Elephas maximus indicus: one gene and its partner. The protein of the gene in region 1 interacts with the protein of each later gene in a pairwise test. Links are inferred from orthologs where the notes say so. Each region holds a gene or a part of one and is shown on either strand. Other genes may lie near its edges.

Evidence for each region.
Region 2: the proteins of ATXN1 (region 1) and HPCAL1 interact in binary tests that used the Homo sapiens proteins (3 or more experiments, as listed by UniProt). The link is inferred for Elephas maximus indicus from reciprocal best matches to the Homo sapiens genes ATXN1 and HPCAL1.

Annotation. Positions count from the first base shown.
Region 1 is NC_064819.1:62,016,219-62,024,050, reverse strand, and holds the start of ATXN1 (ataxin-1), read left to right. Parts: upstream 1-4,821; 5' UTR 4,822-5,016; intron 5,017-7,832. UniProt on the Homo sapiens protein: Chromatin-binding factor that repress Notch signaling in the absence of Notch intracellular domain by acting as a CBF1 corepressor. Binds to the HEY promoter and might assist, along with NCOR2, RBPJ-mediated repression. Binds RNA in vitro.
Region 2 is NC_064830.1:19,874,114-19,881,675, forward strand, and holds the start of HPCAL1 (hippocalcin-like protein 1), read left to right. Parts: upstream 1-4,546; 5' UTR 4,547-4,831; intron 4,832-7,562. UniProt on the Homo sapiens protein: May be involved in the calcium-dependent regulation of rhodopsin phosphorylation.

The sequences.
Region 1 (7,832 bases):
TTTCCAAGGAGTAGCTGGTGGATTCAAACTGCCAACCTTTTGGTTAGCAGCCTGAGCTCTTAACCACTGCATCACCCTGGCTCCTAATTCTCTATATAGTAACTTTGAAAAACTTCTAAAACTGTGAAAAGTATGCTGCTGGATCTTTAACCTCTAAGATTTCCCTTATTTCTGAATGCCTCAGCAGATTATTGTAACACTGAAACAACAGAATGTTATGAAAGCATCAGCTATTTCAACAACTTTTCTGAGGCTTTACCATCTATCCTATCTATCTCCTGGGAGTTTTTGAGGATGCCCTATGAAAGGACTGTGAAGAATATGACATGCTACATAGATACCATGGAAGTATAAATCCTCACCACCGAAAGCCTTAATTAGGGATAAACCCCTCAAGTTATTGTGAAAGTAAACTTTGTGAAAAGTACACATACGTTAAACAATTATGTCTGACTCCACACGAAATTAATTTATATGCTGTAGGGTTGGGTTAACTAGTTACTCCAACGTTTTTAGATAAGCAGGATTTCCTCTTGGAGTTGCCACTGCGTTATCTTTATTTTTGACCAGGGAAACCCTAAGAAGTGGCTTTGAGAGTATGACTTTTTTTCTTTTAATTTATTTTTTGATTGTACTTTAGATGAAGGTTTACAGAACAAACTAGCTTCGTATTAAACAGTACACATATTGTTTTATGACATTAACAACTCTACGAGTGTCAACACTCTCCCTTCTCAATCTTGGGTTCCCTATTACCAGCACGACTTTTGAAATCCACTTTCTTTTAAAAATTGAAGCCTAAAACTCTAAATAAGAATGTCTATATCCCGTTAAACCTGAAGAGACCCCACCAATCTGTTCAATTATGATATTGTTATAATCTGGTAAGCCGTTTTTGTTTGCATGTTTTGCTTTGTTTTTAACTACATAGCAAGCTACTCCCAATAAAAACATACACTACAATTAAAAACTGCCGTGACTGGGAGGACGTACACTTGTTCTGTTAACCACTCTTGTGCTCCCTCTTGCTGCCACAAAGAAAACGTTCACGTTGGAGACCTCAGTACATTCCTTAACAGAGTGCTCTGTTTCGGCAATGATGATACGGATTTGTGCATAAATCAGGGCTCTTCTGAAATGTTTTGTCCAAAGCATACCATGTAATAATTTTTAAAGTAAAATGCACGAATTAATAAAAGGGGGAGGGAATACAAAAGGAATATATAGAAGAATTAAGATCTGCACCTTTAGCCAAATTCATCCTGTCTTAGCCCTGTAGTACAGACCAGTGTTCCTCACAGTATAAAGTGCTTAGGAACCCTCCCCAGGGATCTTATTAAAATGCAGATTTTTGATTCAGTAGGTCTGGGTGGAACCCTCCATTCTGAATGTCTATAAAGCTCCCAGATGCTGCTGTTGCTGCTCCTGGGACCACATTTTAAGAAGCAAGGATATTAATGATGGCCATATATATAATATACACCTGATAGCCCTTTTTAAACTGTCAAAAGTGATGTTATCAAAGCAGTGAAATAGATCTGAGGAATTTATTTGTTCATGGTATTTACGCATTCTGGAACACAGTTTAGGCAGTTAGGCTCAAACCGTTGCCTTGGAGTCGATCTCGACTCATAGCGACCCTATAAGACAAAATAGAATTGTCCCATAGGGTTTCCAAGGAGTGGTTGGTGGATTTGAACTGCCAACCTTTGGGTTGGCAGCGGATCTCTTAACCACTGTGCCACCAGGGCTCCACAGTTAGGCTCAGCAGGCCTTATTTCTGTTTCTTTTCATTTCAAAGGTTGACTTAGCTCCTACCAAGATAATCTCACGTTTATGACTAGGCTTATTTTAAAAAAAAAAATGAAACCGTTGCCTTTGAGTTGACTCCTACTCATAGCAATCCTGTAGGGTGGGGTAGAGCTGCCCTGTAGGATTTACCAAGGAGCAGCTGATGGGTTCAAACTGCTGACCTTTTGATTTGCAGCCATAGCTGTTAACCACTAGACCACCAGGACTTCCATAGTGAACTCTAGTACTATCTATTTGCCTACTGGCTTCTTGAAAACCCTGCTCTTCTTTCATTCAGCTCCTAAGAGGTTTTATTTGCATAAGCCTATTATATGTGACAGAAACTCTGATGGCCTAGTGGTTAAGAGCTACAGCTGCTAACCAAAAAGTTGGCAGTTCGAATTCACCAGGCGTTCCTTGGAAACCCCGTGGGGCAGTTCTACCCTGTCCTGTAGAGTCACTAGGAGTCAGAATCCACTCCACGGCAACAGGTTTTGTTTTGTCTTTTGTGATTTGCAATGGTACATATTTTAATATTTTTACCATCTGAAAACATTTCAGTAGGAAAGGTAATAAAACTGTATGATGAGTATACTTTGGACATTAAAGAAATAGTTACAGATTTTAGTCACAGTTTATGGCTTTACTCTTAATGGCTAAGAAAGTAAATGACACATTTCTTATTGTTTTTACTGCTTGGGTAATATACATATTTAGCTTCCTTGGGGGAACATTTAAATTCATTGACTAGCTCTGATCTGAATTATATGTTTTAATTTGTTTAAAGCTGTTAACGTAACAGAAACTAACTGCTTATGTCAATGTAATAATGAAAATATTAGCTTTTTTTTTTTTTAACTGCAAATTCTCTAAATGTAAGATGTCTAAAAACAGAGTGGAGGTGGATTGGACAGTCTGCAGAGTATGACTTGGAATAAAAACATCTCAGTTAAGCCAAAAACATGGCAACCAATATTTTCTGTTATAAAAATATTTTAGATGAATTTAGTTTTTATGAAAGCTGTCTGAAACTGAAATGAATCACAGAAGCTCTCTGTTTATTCACAGGCCAGCAATAATAATAATACCTGCAGCACAAGGCATACGTCTTCTTGGTGCAAGGCCAGCAAGCCCCTGCTTGGTTCAGAAGTCGGCTTTGCCAAGTATGGGAAAAGATATTACCTGGTTATGTTCTGTGATATTAGCCTTCACCTTGAGGAAGCTTGTCAGTGAAAACAAAACCAAGGAGAGCTTTTGCAGGAAACTGATTTTAACTGTCCACTAGAGGCTGTAATGAGACCGACTATGTCACTTTAAGCCAACCCGAGGTTTAAACCGTAGCCATCATTGATTTTTAAATGAAAAAAAAAAAAAAAAAAAGGAAAAGAAAGTTGTAGAAATGAGTAAAAGTGAACAGTAGTAGTAGCTCTATTTAAATAGCCATGTAGATGTTTTTAGAGTTTCAAAATGTGAGAAAAAAAATTATTTCCGGGGCTCGACACCTTCCTATTTAGTATACTTATTTTTATTTCTGAAGCACATAGGCTCTACAATACTGTTATTTAAAAGCTGACACATTTCTCCTGGTAATTCTGTATCCTGCTTCAGTTGGTGACTAACCGTTAGGTCATAAGTAAACCCAGCCAAAAGGCCTCTCCAATACGGCTTACTGTATCAAATACAGCCACGACAGTGGTGGCTTCCATAGAGAAACTGACGTGGAGGCATCGTGTGTCTAGACACTCGTTCTAAGCACCTGAAGGAGGTCAAATGCTGGCTCGACACCTACTGGTCTTCCAGAATTCTATGCAGCGAGGAGAACGCAGCACTGAGCTTCTCGAGCAGGATGTGCCTTCTCTTCCTCCAGGTGCCACACCTGTTGGCAAGGTGCACCGCTCCAAAGAAGAGTCCTTCCCATCGAGCTAACACCTGGAAGGGGGTACATGCGGAGGGGACCGGGTAGTGGGAAGCTGAGAACCGCACTTCAAAATTGAGTCCAGAGGAAGTACTACAGCGTGGATTCAAGGGAGCTGCCATTTGATGCTCGGTTTGCTTTCTCTATCTCCAACACTGGTTACCTCATTTCCGATTAAATTAATGATCCCGAATTAGCTGCGAGCGGAGTGTGCGGGTCGTCTATCAAGACTAGAGCTGAGGAGTTGAATATCCGAAGCAGATTTCCGGACCCGCAGAAAGAGAAAGAAGCGCAGGGAGGTCACCAGCTTTCCCAGCCAGTGAAGGTGAGGGTGCATGTGCATTCGGGGAGACCCTGCAAACTTTCCCGAGTTGCAGGCAAAGGCAGTCCCCGCGGCCCCAGCGTCTGGGTTCCGGAACGCCGAAGCTAAACCAGCTGGAGGATTATCACAGTCCGCGCTCCTAGATGCTTCCTTCTCTTAGTGCCCGGGACGAAGGGCACGTCGGGATTAGAACTGGCCAACCTCCCCTCCCCCTTGGGTATCTCGTTATCGCCGAGCCGAAGCCTGACACCCCTCGGAGGGTACCCCACGGTGCCTGAGTTGCACCCCGCTGTCGCTCTCTCCCCTCCAATTAGGTGCTGGGACCTGGGGAGTCGCGCGAGGCCCGACCGGTCACCGCTAAAATGACCTCATCGCCTCAGCTCTTCGCCCCTTTCTCAAACCTGGAAGGAACCGTCTCCTCCGGCCCGCGCGTCGCCCTCCCGCGCCAGCCGCACTTTCGGGATGGGAAGTGGCGGCCGGTCCCGCGGCGGAAGCGAGCCCGCCTACCCGGGGTCGGCGGTCCCCGGGCGGGCGCGCACCGAAGGGTTAAGGGAGCGGGCGGGTCGCCGCGCCGTCCGCGCGCCGGGATCCGTGCGGCTCTCCGGGCCGCCTGCCAAAGGGTGCCCGCCCCCCTCCCCCCGTGAAGTAGGATCCTTGAGCTGCGGCGGCGGCAGCCAACTGCTCCATATTTGGCTTCTATTACACATTTACATACTGGAGCGAGCGAGCGAGCGAGGAGGGAGGGCGGGCGGGCGAGAGGAGGGAGGAGGGAGGGGAGGGGAGCGGGAGGAGGAGGAGGAGAGAACAGAGTATACCGCAGACATCATTTCTACTACAGTGGCGGAGCCGTACAGGACCTGTTTCACTGCAGGGGGATCCAAAACAAGCCCCGTGGAGCAGCAGCCCGAGCACCAGCAGCCTCAAGACATTGTTTCTCTCCCTCTGCCCCCCCTTCCCCACGCAACCCCAGATTCTTTTACACTTTACAGTAAGTGGCTATTTTTTTTTTCCTCCTCTGATTCTTTCTCTCCCCCCTCCCCCATCTCCTCCCCTGATTTAGATTAAAATCCTCCCCCCTCCCGCCCCGCTCTCCCGAGGTGGGCAAAAGCAACAACCAGCAAACAAACCCCAAACCCCAAACGGCGGCACGGCGAACAGCTGGAAGAGGAGCAAAGGAAACCGACGCGTCGTGTTGTGTTGTGCGTGTACATACAACCTTTCCCGGCTCCAGCCTCCCGGGGGCCGACACCCCCACTCTCGGCGCAGTGAAGAGCCAGCAGTAGGGCAGCCGGGCCCGGGTGGGAAGGGTGAGCGCCCGCCGGGCGAGGGGGCGCGCCCGGGCGGGGGGCGCGGGTAGGGACAGCGGTGGCGCCCCGCACCGGCGGCTGCTGGTCCCGCCGCGAGTGCAGAGAGCCATGTCCTCCCTCGGGGTGGCGCAGGGGGAGACAGTAGCCGCTGGGGGGTCGCGCGGCCCCCTCCCCACTCGTCGTCCCCGCAAGGGGCTGCGAGAGCGAGTGGGTCTCGGGGAGGACTGGGCTTCCCCGCGGGTGGCCGTCTGGCCTCCGCTCTCCGGGGCTGGGGTCTCCTGGCGGAGGCCGGCCTTGCCGGTTTTTCGGCTGCGGCCGCGCTGGCAGCCGGATCAGGACTTTGCGCACGTCCGGGCGCAGGGAGGGGGCGCACGGGGGGCGCGGAGAGGTGGCCGCAGGGACCGGGCGGGGAGCGGTTGTGCGGGTGCCGGGAGTGCGGCTGGCGGTGGCGGCCCTGGCTGCCGCCGCCCTGTTAGTGCCACTGCTTCCTGATCATGTGCAGCCGCCGCTGCTGCCTGGAGCCGGGAGCCCGTGAGCACCCTGGGGCCCGCCGGCGCCCCCGCCAGCGCCCGCGGCAGGAGCGGAGGAGCCCCGGCAGGCGCTGCCCTACGCGGGGAGTGAACGGCTGCACGGCTGCCGGGCGGGTGAATGAAGCCGGGAGGAGGAGAAGGGGGAGGAGGAGGCGGAGGAGGAGGTGCTGCGGCGTTTGGGATGCGCCCCGGAGCCCCGCTGCTCGTTCACTCTAGGCCGGGCCGGGCCAGAGACTCTGCCATTCCCGCGGCGGCCGCCGCCTCCTACGTGGTTCCAGTGCTGCGCGCAGGCGGGTCCCGCAGAGGGCAGGGAAGGGGCCGGCCGGGCGGAGAGAGAGGTGAGGCGGTGTCGGAGCGGGTTGTGAGTGTGTGCGTGTGTGTATGCGCGCGCTCGCCGAGGGGAAGGAGGGACGTCGCCATGGGGTGGGGGCCCTCGGTGGCCACTTGGCTGACTCTACAGCGCCCAGACCCCTCCTCAGCCCCCCTCCCCCTCCCACCCCCAGGCCGCCTTCCTAAACTCCGTGGCTTGTGCTTTCATTTTATTTCAGACCACGTAGGGGGCTGACTGGAAGCGTTGAAACAATTCAGGTTTTTTAGGGAGATTAAGCAAGAACCTCAGTGGGGGGTGGGCGTAGGGTAGTGATCGAGATTGTGCCAGAAAACAAAAAAAAATCACAATTTCTAAGGACGGTGGGGTTCGTGCATACCCGTGGCTGCTCTGTTTTGTTTTGCTTTCTTGGTATATAATCCTACAGATAAGAGGGTAATATAAATACTTTGGAAGATTGGAGAATTGCTGAAGAGTAGTAATGGCAAGGGGGGAAAAAGCCAGTCGGAAGCTGGTTATATAATGCGCGAGGTGGCTAACAAGAACGGCAAGCTATTTTTATTTTGTTTACCGTATGCTGTGCAGTAGGGACTCCTCCAAACTGGTTCTGTCCCCGAAGAGATTCTTAGCTTCCTTGTGAGATCCACAGGATACAATTAGCAAAATTAGAAGACCCTATTACACCCACAGAATAAAAACTAATGCCTTAGAGTGGCAATTCCTTGCAAATCCGGTCGTGCATGCAGGGGAATGTGTGTATGCAAATAGGTTCTCCTTCGGCAATCTAGTAGTCACATCTCAATGACATTCATGTTTTGTAATGCAGGCTGTTCTTAATATTGAAACATCATCGTTAACATGTTGCACACAGCAGTGGGTAGTTACTTGATGGTTATTTTTAGTCATGCTAGTTAACTTTTTTCACAAAGGTGAGCTAAGCCTTTTCTATTTGGGTTTCCGAGGAGACCTGCAGTTCCTAGAAGCCCCTGCTAATCCCACCCTCTGGTTTATTTGATGGGTAAAGGTAGTTTGGTACTTGTGCTTCTTGGGAATGAAGTTTATACCCGAGAAAACTACCAGAGAGAAGGAGGAGAAATCCTGCATATGAACTCTCGGAAAGGGATTGCGCCAGGACGGCGAATGCTGTGCCGCTTCATCGCTGATTGCCCTGGAAGTGTGCATGCGTCGGTCAGTGTTTCAGCAGCTCCGGAAGTGAAGGGCCTTGGATGCCAGTCTCTTCCACTTAAAGCAGAGGTCGAAGGGCTCCCCTGAACCTCCTGACTGCCTGTCTTTCTCATCATGTAGATACATGTCAGTGGTGTAGGTTTTCCTGCACTTAGGCCAGCCCTGATCAGTCATGTAATTAGATCAGGCTGCCATGGCAACAGACAGTGTTCCTCGTCCATTCAGGTGGGTTTGTCTTGTGCCTGGACTACTCCAAGTGTTTTATGCACAGTGTTTGTGCTGCCCAAGCCAGACAAGAGACTTCACTAGTTCAACTGCATCTTCTTTCAGTAATTTGGACGGGAGACACTAAATTAGGTTTCTAGTTACTCAACTTTTGTAAGAGAGACCAAGAATCTGTTCTTACCGGGTGCAGTATGTAAATGTATCACCCCAGACAATGAAAGGAGCCTGA
Region 2 (7,562 bases), on another chromosome or scaffold:
CCTTAGACCCCTGGTCCTGAGGAGAAGGTCCCAGGGACCCCAGCCTTGAGATTACAGAGGGGCAGCAGGGCAGACAGTGGATGGGAAAAAGAAAAACATACACATATAAGGCAGTTGCCCCAGGATAGGGGGCGTTCTAGTTAATCTTTAACCCCTGGAGCTTGCAAGCAGGAGGGAAGGGAAGGAGAGAGAGAGGTGCCATCAGATCCCGCCTCTGAGGCAGGCTCCCTGGGCCAGCCATGGGGCTGCAGTATCTGTATCAGCCGCAGTCACGAACACCGGCAGTCACAAACACTGAGGAGCATAAGCAAGATGACCTAATGATCCAATTTCCCTGCCTCTGGCCTATCTACCAACACCAGGCAGGATCCAGTGATTCTGCTGGCTGACAGATGGCAGTAAATCTCTCCCCTTCCCCTTTGAATATCCAGGCACCTCTTTGGTTTCTTGACACTGCCAGGGAGTTCTCTGGCCATTTCCTCTGCGTGGGAGCTTCCAGGGCCTGGGCTCTGAGGTCAGGGGAAGGGCAGGTGGTCCTAGGTGCAGCCACTAGCCTAAGTAAGCATCGCCATTTTATTCCTGGCAGCCACGTTTCTCCACCCTGTCATAACAAAAAACAAAAACCAGTGTAACAGAATCAAAGGAGGATATGGAAACGAGCTGGCCCCCACTTCCTCAAACATTCGGAGCAGGAGCGTGTGAGCTAGGGGCACATGTATTTGAAAGCATCTCCCTAGTAGGATACTTGGAATCAAGTACATCCAAGTGCTACAAATAATTTTTTTTTTAATTGTATTTCTTCCAGGGCCTGTGTGGACCCAGCACATACTGAGTCTGGCTTTAGACCTGCCTGTCACTGATTCAGAAAACCCTGGTGGCGTAGTGGTTAAGTGTCATGGCTGCTAACCAAGAGGTCAGCAATTTGAATCTACCAGGCGCTCCTTGGAAACTCTATGGGGCAGTTCTACTCTGCCCTATAGGGTTGCTATGAGTTGGAATCAACTTGACAGCGGTGGGGTTGGTTTGGTTGGTCACTGCTTCTGGAGTCCCTGGGTTAACATGCAAATGGTTGACATGCTCGGATGCTAACTGATAAAAAGGTTGGAGGTTTGAGTCCACCCAGAGGCACCTAGGAAAAAATATCCAGTCATCTACCTCTGAGATATTGTCCGTTGAAAACCTTATGGAGCGCAGTTCTACTCTGACACATATGAGGTCGCTATGAGGCACAGTAGGCGCAACAGCAACTTTTTTTTTTCTTTTTTTTTACATCACTGATTCTACTTTGTGCCCTTGGATATCTCACTTCTGTAAGGGTTTTCCGGAAACCCTGGTGGTGTAGTGGTTAAGTGCTATGGCTGCTAACCAAAAGGTTGGCAGTTCGAATCCACCAGGTGCTCCTTGAAAGCTCTATGGGGGCAGTTCTACACTGTCCTGTAGGGTCACTATCAGTCGGAGTCAACTCGACAGCAATGGGTTTGGCTTTGTTTTTTTAAAAAGGTTTTCTCATCCATGAAATGGGGACATAACCTCAAGAATGTTGGAGATAGTCAGATGCTGTCATTATTAAGAAGTCAGAGTTTGCCCTTAGTGCTGACAGCCATAGTGTGGAGGACAAACTGTATGTGTATCATGACACCCTCCCCTGACTTAGGTTTCTTATTTGTCTTAGTTTATTAAATTCAAAAATTATTTAGTGAGCACTACTGTATGCACTCCACTAAGCTTCATATGTTGTTGTAGTTGTGCGCTGTTGAGTCAATTCTGACTCACAGTGACCCTACTGGACAGAGTAGATCTGCCCCATACGGTTCCCCAGGCTGAAATGTTTATGCGAGAAGATTACCAGGTCTTTTTTCCTGCAGAGCCGCTGGGGTTCAAACCTCTGACCTTGTGGTTAGCAGCCCATCAAAACTACTGCTGTGGAGTCAATTCTGACTCCTAGGGACCCTATAGGACAGAGTAGAACTGACCCATAGGGTTTCCCAAGCTCTAAATCTTTATGGAAGCAGGCTGCCACATCTTTCTCCCACAGAGTGGCTGGTGGCTTCAAACTGCCAACCTTTTGGTGGGCAGCCAAGCACTTTCACCTCCGCACCACCAGGGCTCTTAGCAGCTCCTAAGGGGTATATATAGTCCTTGTCCTGCAGGAGCAGTGGACACAGACAGAAAGAGATCAGTTTGTACTTCATCTGACAGAGATGGGATACAGTGCTGGACGAAGGTCTAGATTATCTGTGCTTCTCTAGAAGTTCAGAGAAGACAGAGGTACATGTGAGCCGGAGCCATGCTAGGTGGAGGACCAGCACAGGCAAAGGCCCAGAGGTACAAGCAAGTTGGGTTTTGGGCACATGCCACAGTCTGCTTTCAAGCTTTCTCTGAACTTTTTCATCCTCAATCCTGTGTCAACATGCCCTTCCCCTCCTATGCTGCCTGGTGAACTTCTACTTACCTTTCAAGGTCCAGCTAAACTGTCGCCTCCTCTGTGAAGGCTTTCCTGACCCTCTCCACTACGAGCCTTCCTGGTGGTTGTAACCCAAGCCTTGATTATAGCGATTATCACGCTCTGTGTGAATATCTGCTGCCCCTGAGACTGGGCTTGGCAGAAGTGGGCTCCGTTTCTGTAGCAGAGATATTGCTATGTGTTCACGAAACTGACGTTGTTTTTTCTCCTGGACACACAGGAAGACTCTGTTTCTTTTGTATACAGCTGGGAGCACGTAGCTAATGCTGGTTAATGAATGTAGGTGGAAGTGATGTATGCCACCCCCAGGGCTGGCTCCTGAACAGCACTCTCAGACTGTGCTCGTGCCGTCTCTGCTCTTGTTACCAGGCCAGGAGAAGAACCAATGGAGGCCTCAGAGGCCCTGAAGAAATGTGGTGCAAGCATTAGATGGAAGATGCTTGGGTTCCTGAGAGACTGTGGAGTCCTCTCCGCCCCTTCCAACCTGAATTGTAACCTGAGTGAGAACTGGGATCTTATGTGTTACCACAGCACAGCATAGCCTACCCTGACTAAGACAATGCCTCGGCAGCCTCTGCTTGCAGTCACCTGGCTGATGGGGCTGGGTCTGGGGGTCTGACTGAGGGCTTGCATGGATAGGCTACAGAAAGCCCACGGAATGACCTTGGCTACTGGACTCTGCTTAGAAGGAAGGAGTCAGCGCCCCCAGGTACTGGAGCTGGCTCTTTATAACACCACCACAGCCCGGTACTAACACATCCTACAGTCATTATTTCAGTCAATTCTCCTAGCAGTCCTGACTAGGAGACTCCCTCCGTCTAGATTTAGCTTTGCCATTCTGCTTACAGAGAGAAAGGAGAGAGGGGGACTGGGCTCAGGCCCTGACCCTCACTGGAAGCCTCCAGTCAGGTCCCTTGTCAAAGCTGCTCTGCCCATTTTCCCTCCACAAGCCTCCTGTGTAGTGGGAGCTCACTCACAGTGTTTTTTGTGGGGGAGGATTTGAGTTTTACCCTAGAGACACAGAAAGACAGTTTCGTCTCAGCCTCACACGAAGGCCCATTTCCACATTTACGGCTGTTTCTGTGGTTACCTTTCTTTGGTAATGTTTGGGGCGCGCGGCGGTGACGATGGTGGTAGTGCTGGGGTGCGTATATATGTGCTCTTCTAAGCCCTAGATTTTCAGGAGCTGCTCCAGTAAGGGATCCCGGGAAGCACAGTCCTGCCTTGTCATGCGGGTTCCATAGACAAGGGGATGAGCGAAGTCTGCAGGAGAAACCAGGCCGCCCCTCCCGGAGGCTCACGAGGCCAGCCGTCCCCAGGAATAAGATGCCCAACTAAGGAAGTCCTTTTCCCGGCAGGGAAACTGAAGAACCACTGAATGGCAGTGAGGAAAGGACCCCAGAAAGCCTGCCTGTCCTCCCCGTCCACTTTACAGGTGGGGAAACCAAGGCTGAGGGAGTCCAAGGCACTTGCAAAAATGGCACAAGGAGTTACCAAAGGCAACAATAGCTGGAACCCAGGTCTCCCTCTTCCCAGCCCCAGGATCTTTGCCAGAATGAGGCTCAGGAAAGTTGGGTGGTATCAGCACACGGGACCGGGGTGGGGAAGAATAGAAGAGGGACCTGGCAGGCGGTCCCCGTGGCTTGGGCGACTCCCGCCTCTTCCCCTTCCTAGGCCACCCGGGCCACACTTCCTGCAGAGGACTAGAAGGCGGGGGCGCGGGGCAAGGCCGTCCGGTCTGGGGCACCGCCTCTCGGCCTCTCCCACACTCGTAGGCCAGAGGCGAAGGGTTAGGGAGGCGGAACCGGTGCACTGCTCCGCCCCTGCCCCGTCCCATTCTCGTATCCACTAGGGAGGGGGACCCGGGCAGGACCTCGGCTGGGTGGTGAGGGGGCTGAGGAGCGCGGGACAGGGTGGTAAGGATGGAAGATGGGACGGCAAGGTCCAGCAGGGGGCGGGGCTAGGGAGGGGGCGTGGCCGGAGCGGCGGCAGAGGGGCGTGGCCGAGTCGGCTGGAAACTTCACCGCCCGCCCCCGGCCGTGCGCCCCGCCCCCGGCCCCCGCCCCCGGCCCCCGCCTTCCCGTCCCTTCCTTCCCGGGGCTGGCAGGCGGCAGCAGCGGCAGCAGGCGACGGACCCGCGGGCACCTCGCTTCCTCCCCTCGCTGCCCGGCTTCCTTTTGTCCTTCTGGGCGGCGATGAGCGCAGGGCCGGCGCGGCGGCTGCCGGAGCACGGAGCCTCGCACCCCTAGCCACCCCTCCCGGCTTCGGCACGCTTGTCCCCGCGCAGCGGCCCGCGTCCACCCCAGCCGCTGCTCGCGCCGCAACTTGGGCTTGGGAAGCCGCGGACTGCGTCCTGCGTCGGACTCGGTAGGAGAGGGACAGGCTGCGGGGGGCTGCGGGGACTGCGGGTGCGTGGATCGGTGTGCGCCCGCGTGTGTCTGTAATCGTGACTCTGCGTGTGTGCGTGTGTGTGTGTGTGTGTATGTGTGTGTTGGGGGGTGCCTTGTTTCCCTGCGCGGGTGCAGTTGTGTATGACCGCGGACGGGTGGTGTATTTCTGGAATGGCGTGCCCTCGTGGGGATCCGTGTGAGCAACTGGGTGTGCACATTTTCGGCTGCGTTTGTGGAATTGTGTGTGAGGGCGCAGTTGCTCGTGGGTGCCGGGCGGGGGTCGTGTGTGAGCAGCTGTGCGCGGGGCGAGGAATGGCAGGGTAGGCGTGGGCGACCTGGACCCGCGCAAGGGGCTCTGTGGTCTCTGCCGGCCGGCGCAGTGCGGAGCGCAGGAGCCCAGGGGAGAGCCGCGTCGCAGAGGAGGGAAGCGCTGGCCCGGCGGGAAGCCCGGGTTAGCCTCGCAGGCGGCAGGTCCGCCCGGCACACGTGGGCCGCCTGTGCGCTCTGGCCAAAGGTGGGGGCGGTGGGGCGGCGATTTCCTCTCAGATTAGAACCCTGACCTCGCCGTGACCTGCACTGCGACCTGGGCCAGATACGCCACCTTCCTGAGTCGCAGTTTGCTGCTCTTTAAAATGAGGGCATTCCCTCCCTCGGGGGCTGTCGTGATAGTTAAAAGAGAGCGCCCTAACGGTAGCTCTCGGCCCAGTGCCTGGCACTTAGTAGGTGCTATGTTAATTGAATTAGCTCTCTTTCTCTCTCATTTATCGTGGGTGGGGCTCTTACTTTTTTTTTTCTCCCTTTCTGGCTGTGTTTCTTGCATCTCTCACGGCTCTAGCTTAACCGCAAAGCACAGAGATTCGAGAAAGTTTAGGCTGCTGGGTGCGCTGCCTCCTAGCCGCATCTCCCCGGCGGGCGCACCCTGCGGGTCTACAGGAGCGCGCAGCGCCGAGCGCTGGCTCGTCTCCAGCCCTAAAGGCTCCTGCGCACGAGCTAGGGTCCCTCTCCTGGCTGGAAGACAGCGGCAGCTGCTGGAGTCGGTAGCCCTTTTGTTCAACAAGTGGCTAGTCCCCAGGGTGTGCAACTCGTGGAACCTGAGAGCCACGGTGTGAAAGTGGCGCTCCCCGCAGAGACGGAGCTCAGGCTGGCGGTGCTTCCCAACCCGGGCCTGGTCATGCGGAATGCCACCCCCCTTTCTTCCCAGCTAACATCAGATTCCACCTAGAGGAGGGCGTTTGCCAGAATGGCGAGTCCCGCCTTGGGCTCAGCGTTGGACAACCTGCAACCTTACCCATGACGCCAGACGCTGGATGGGAGGGACCCTGCCTCCTAGACCCATACCTTGGTTTTTAAAATATAAATTCCTACATCTTTAGTTTTGAAACCTGCTACTGGTAAAATTGAACTGCAGTGAATGTGCACCAAGCTCTTACAACGTTAACTCAAGCCAGAGTCTTGCCATTCCACCTCCAGGTTCCCTCATACCCAGGAAGGCAGCTGATAGGGGCGCTGTCCTCTGTTGCCTCCTGCCAGAAGGGAGTCAGTGATTCCTTTCCTTCATTTCCATGGCTTCTCCCATTCAGGACCCTTCCCAGTCTGAAAAAACAAATAGCATTTAACCAAGGGAGCAGCAGACCTCATCTGTGTGCCAGGCTCTCAAAATGGAGCACTGGCATGGTGTGTTCTGAGGAAGGAGTCAACCGCTTGGCTGCGCTGGGGTATCAGATACATTTCCCAAGTATCCAGTGCCCCTCCAGTTAGGGTTTGCAGGGAAGCTGGAATGCTATGCAGGCTTTATGACAAACACGCAGAAACCTCTGGTTCGGTGCCTTTGGTTTGTCTTCATCGAGAATAGAGGTGCTGAGAGCGCAGCAGTGAGAGCAGGCTATGTGGATTTAATAAGCTAATTTTTCATCCTAATTTGGTGTTGGAGGCACACCTAGAATGCAACCTATTTTCTGTCTCATAAAATAATTTTATATCCTAGAGGAGAAAAGGGCTTTTGATCTGAACCCTACTCTCGTCCCCATAATCAGATTCAATAATCATATTTACAAAAAATCGGTCTGGCTTTCACAGCTCAGAGACAGAACCAATAGCTTTCTTTTTTTCTTTTTCTTGATAAAACCAATCCTTTGTCTCAAGCAAACCAGTGTTTTGGTCCTCGATCTATTTCTGTTTCACTTTTGCAAGCGCCTGTAATTACTGAGCTCTTGAGGTTTTATTGAATAATGCACCACAGGGAAGGTCCACAGGCTTGGGCTGTCGCTTGTGGTGGACGTGGTGCCACGTTCTAGCCTGGCCTGCTCCCTTTGGGTTTCATTTTTATTCTTTCATCAGGTGGAAAAATCAATGTCAACGTGAAATAACAATTTGGGAGACCTGGTATTGAGAATCGAATGCCTGGGGAGTCATTTGACCTGTGGAGGCATAAGAATAAGTCGAAATTCCAGAATAACAGAGATTTGCCCAAATTCTAGCCAAGGACCTATTCATTTCCAATAAGATCTCCTAGAGACATATTCTAAGAGAAATGAAATAACTTGGACAAATCCTTCAAAATTTATCTCCATCCTCGTTTCTGGCCACAGGGCTGTGCAGAATTAGAAACACAAGCTCCTGAAGGACAAGGAGCGGACTTGGGTGCACACTCCCCTCCCCAGGGGCTTATATTCACCTAACTCCATTTCCACCTGGGGCAGATTGGGAGC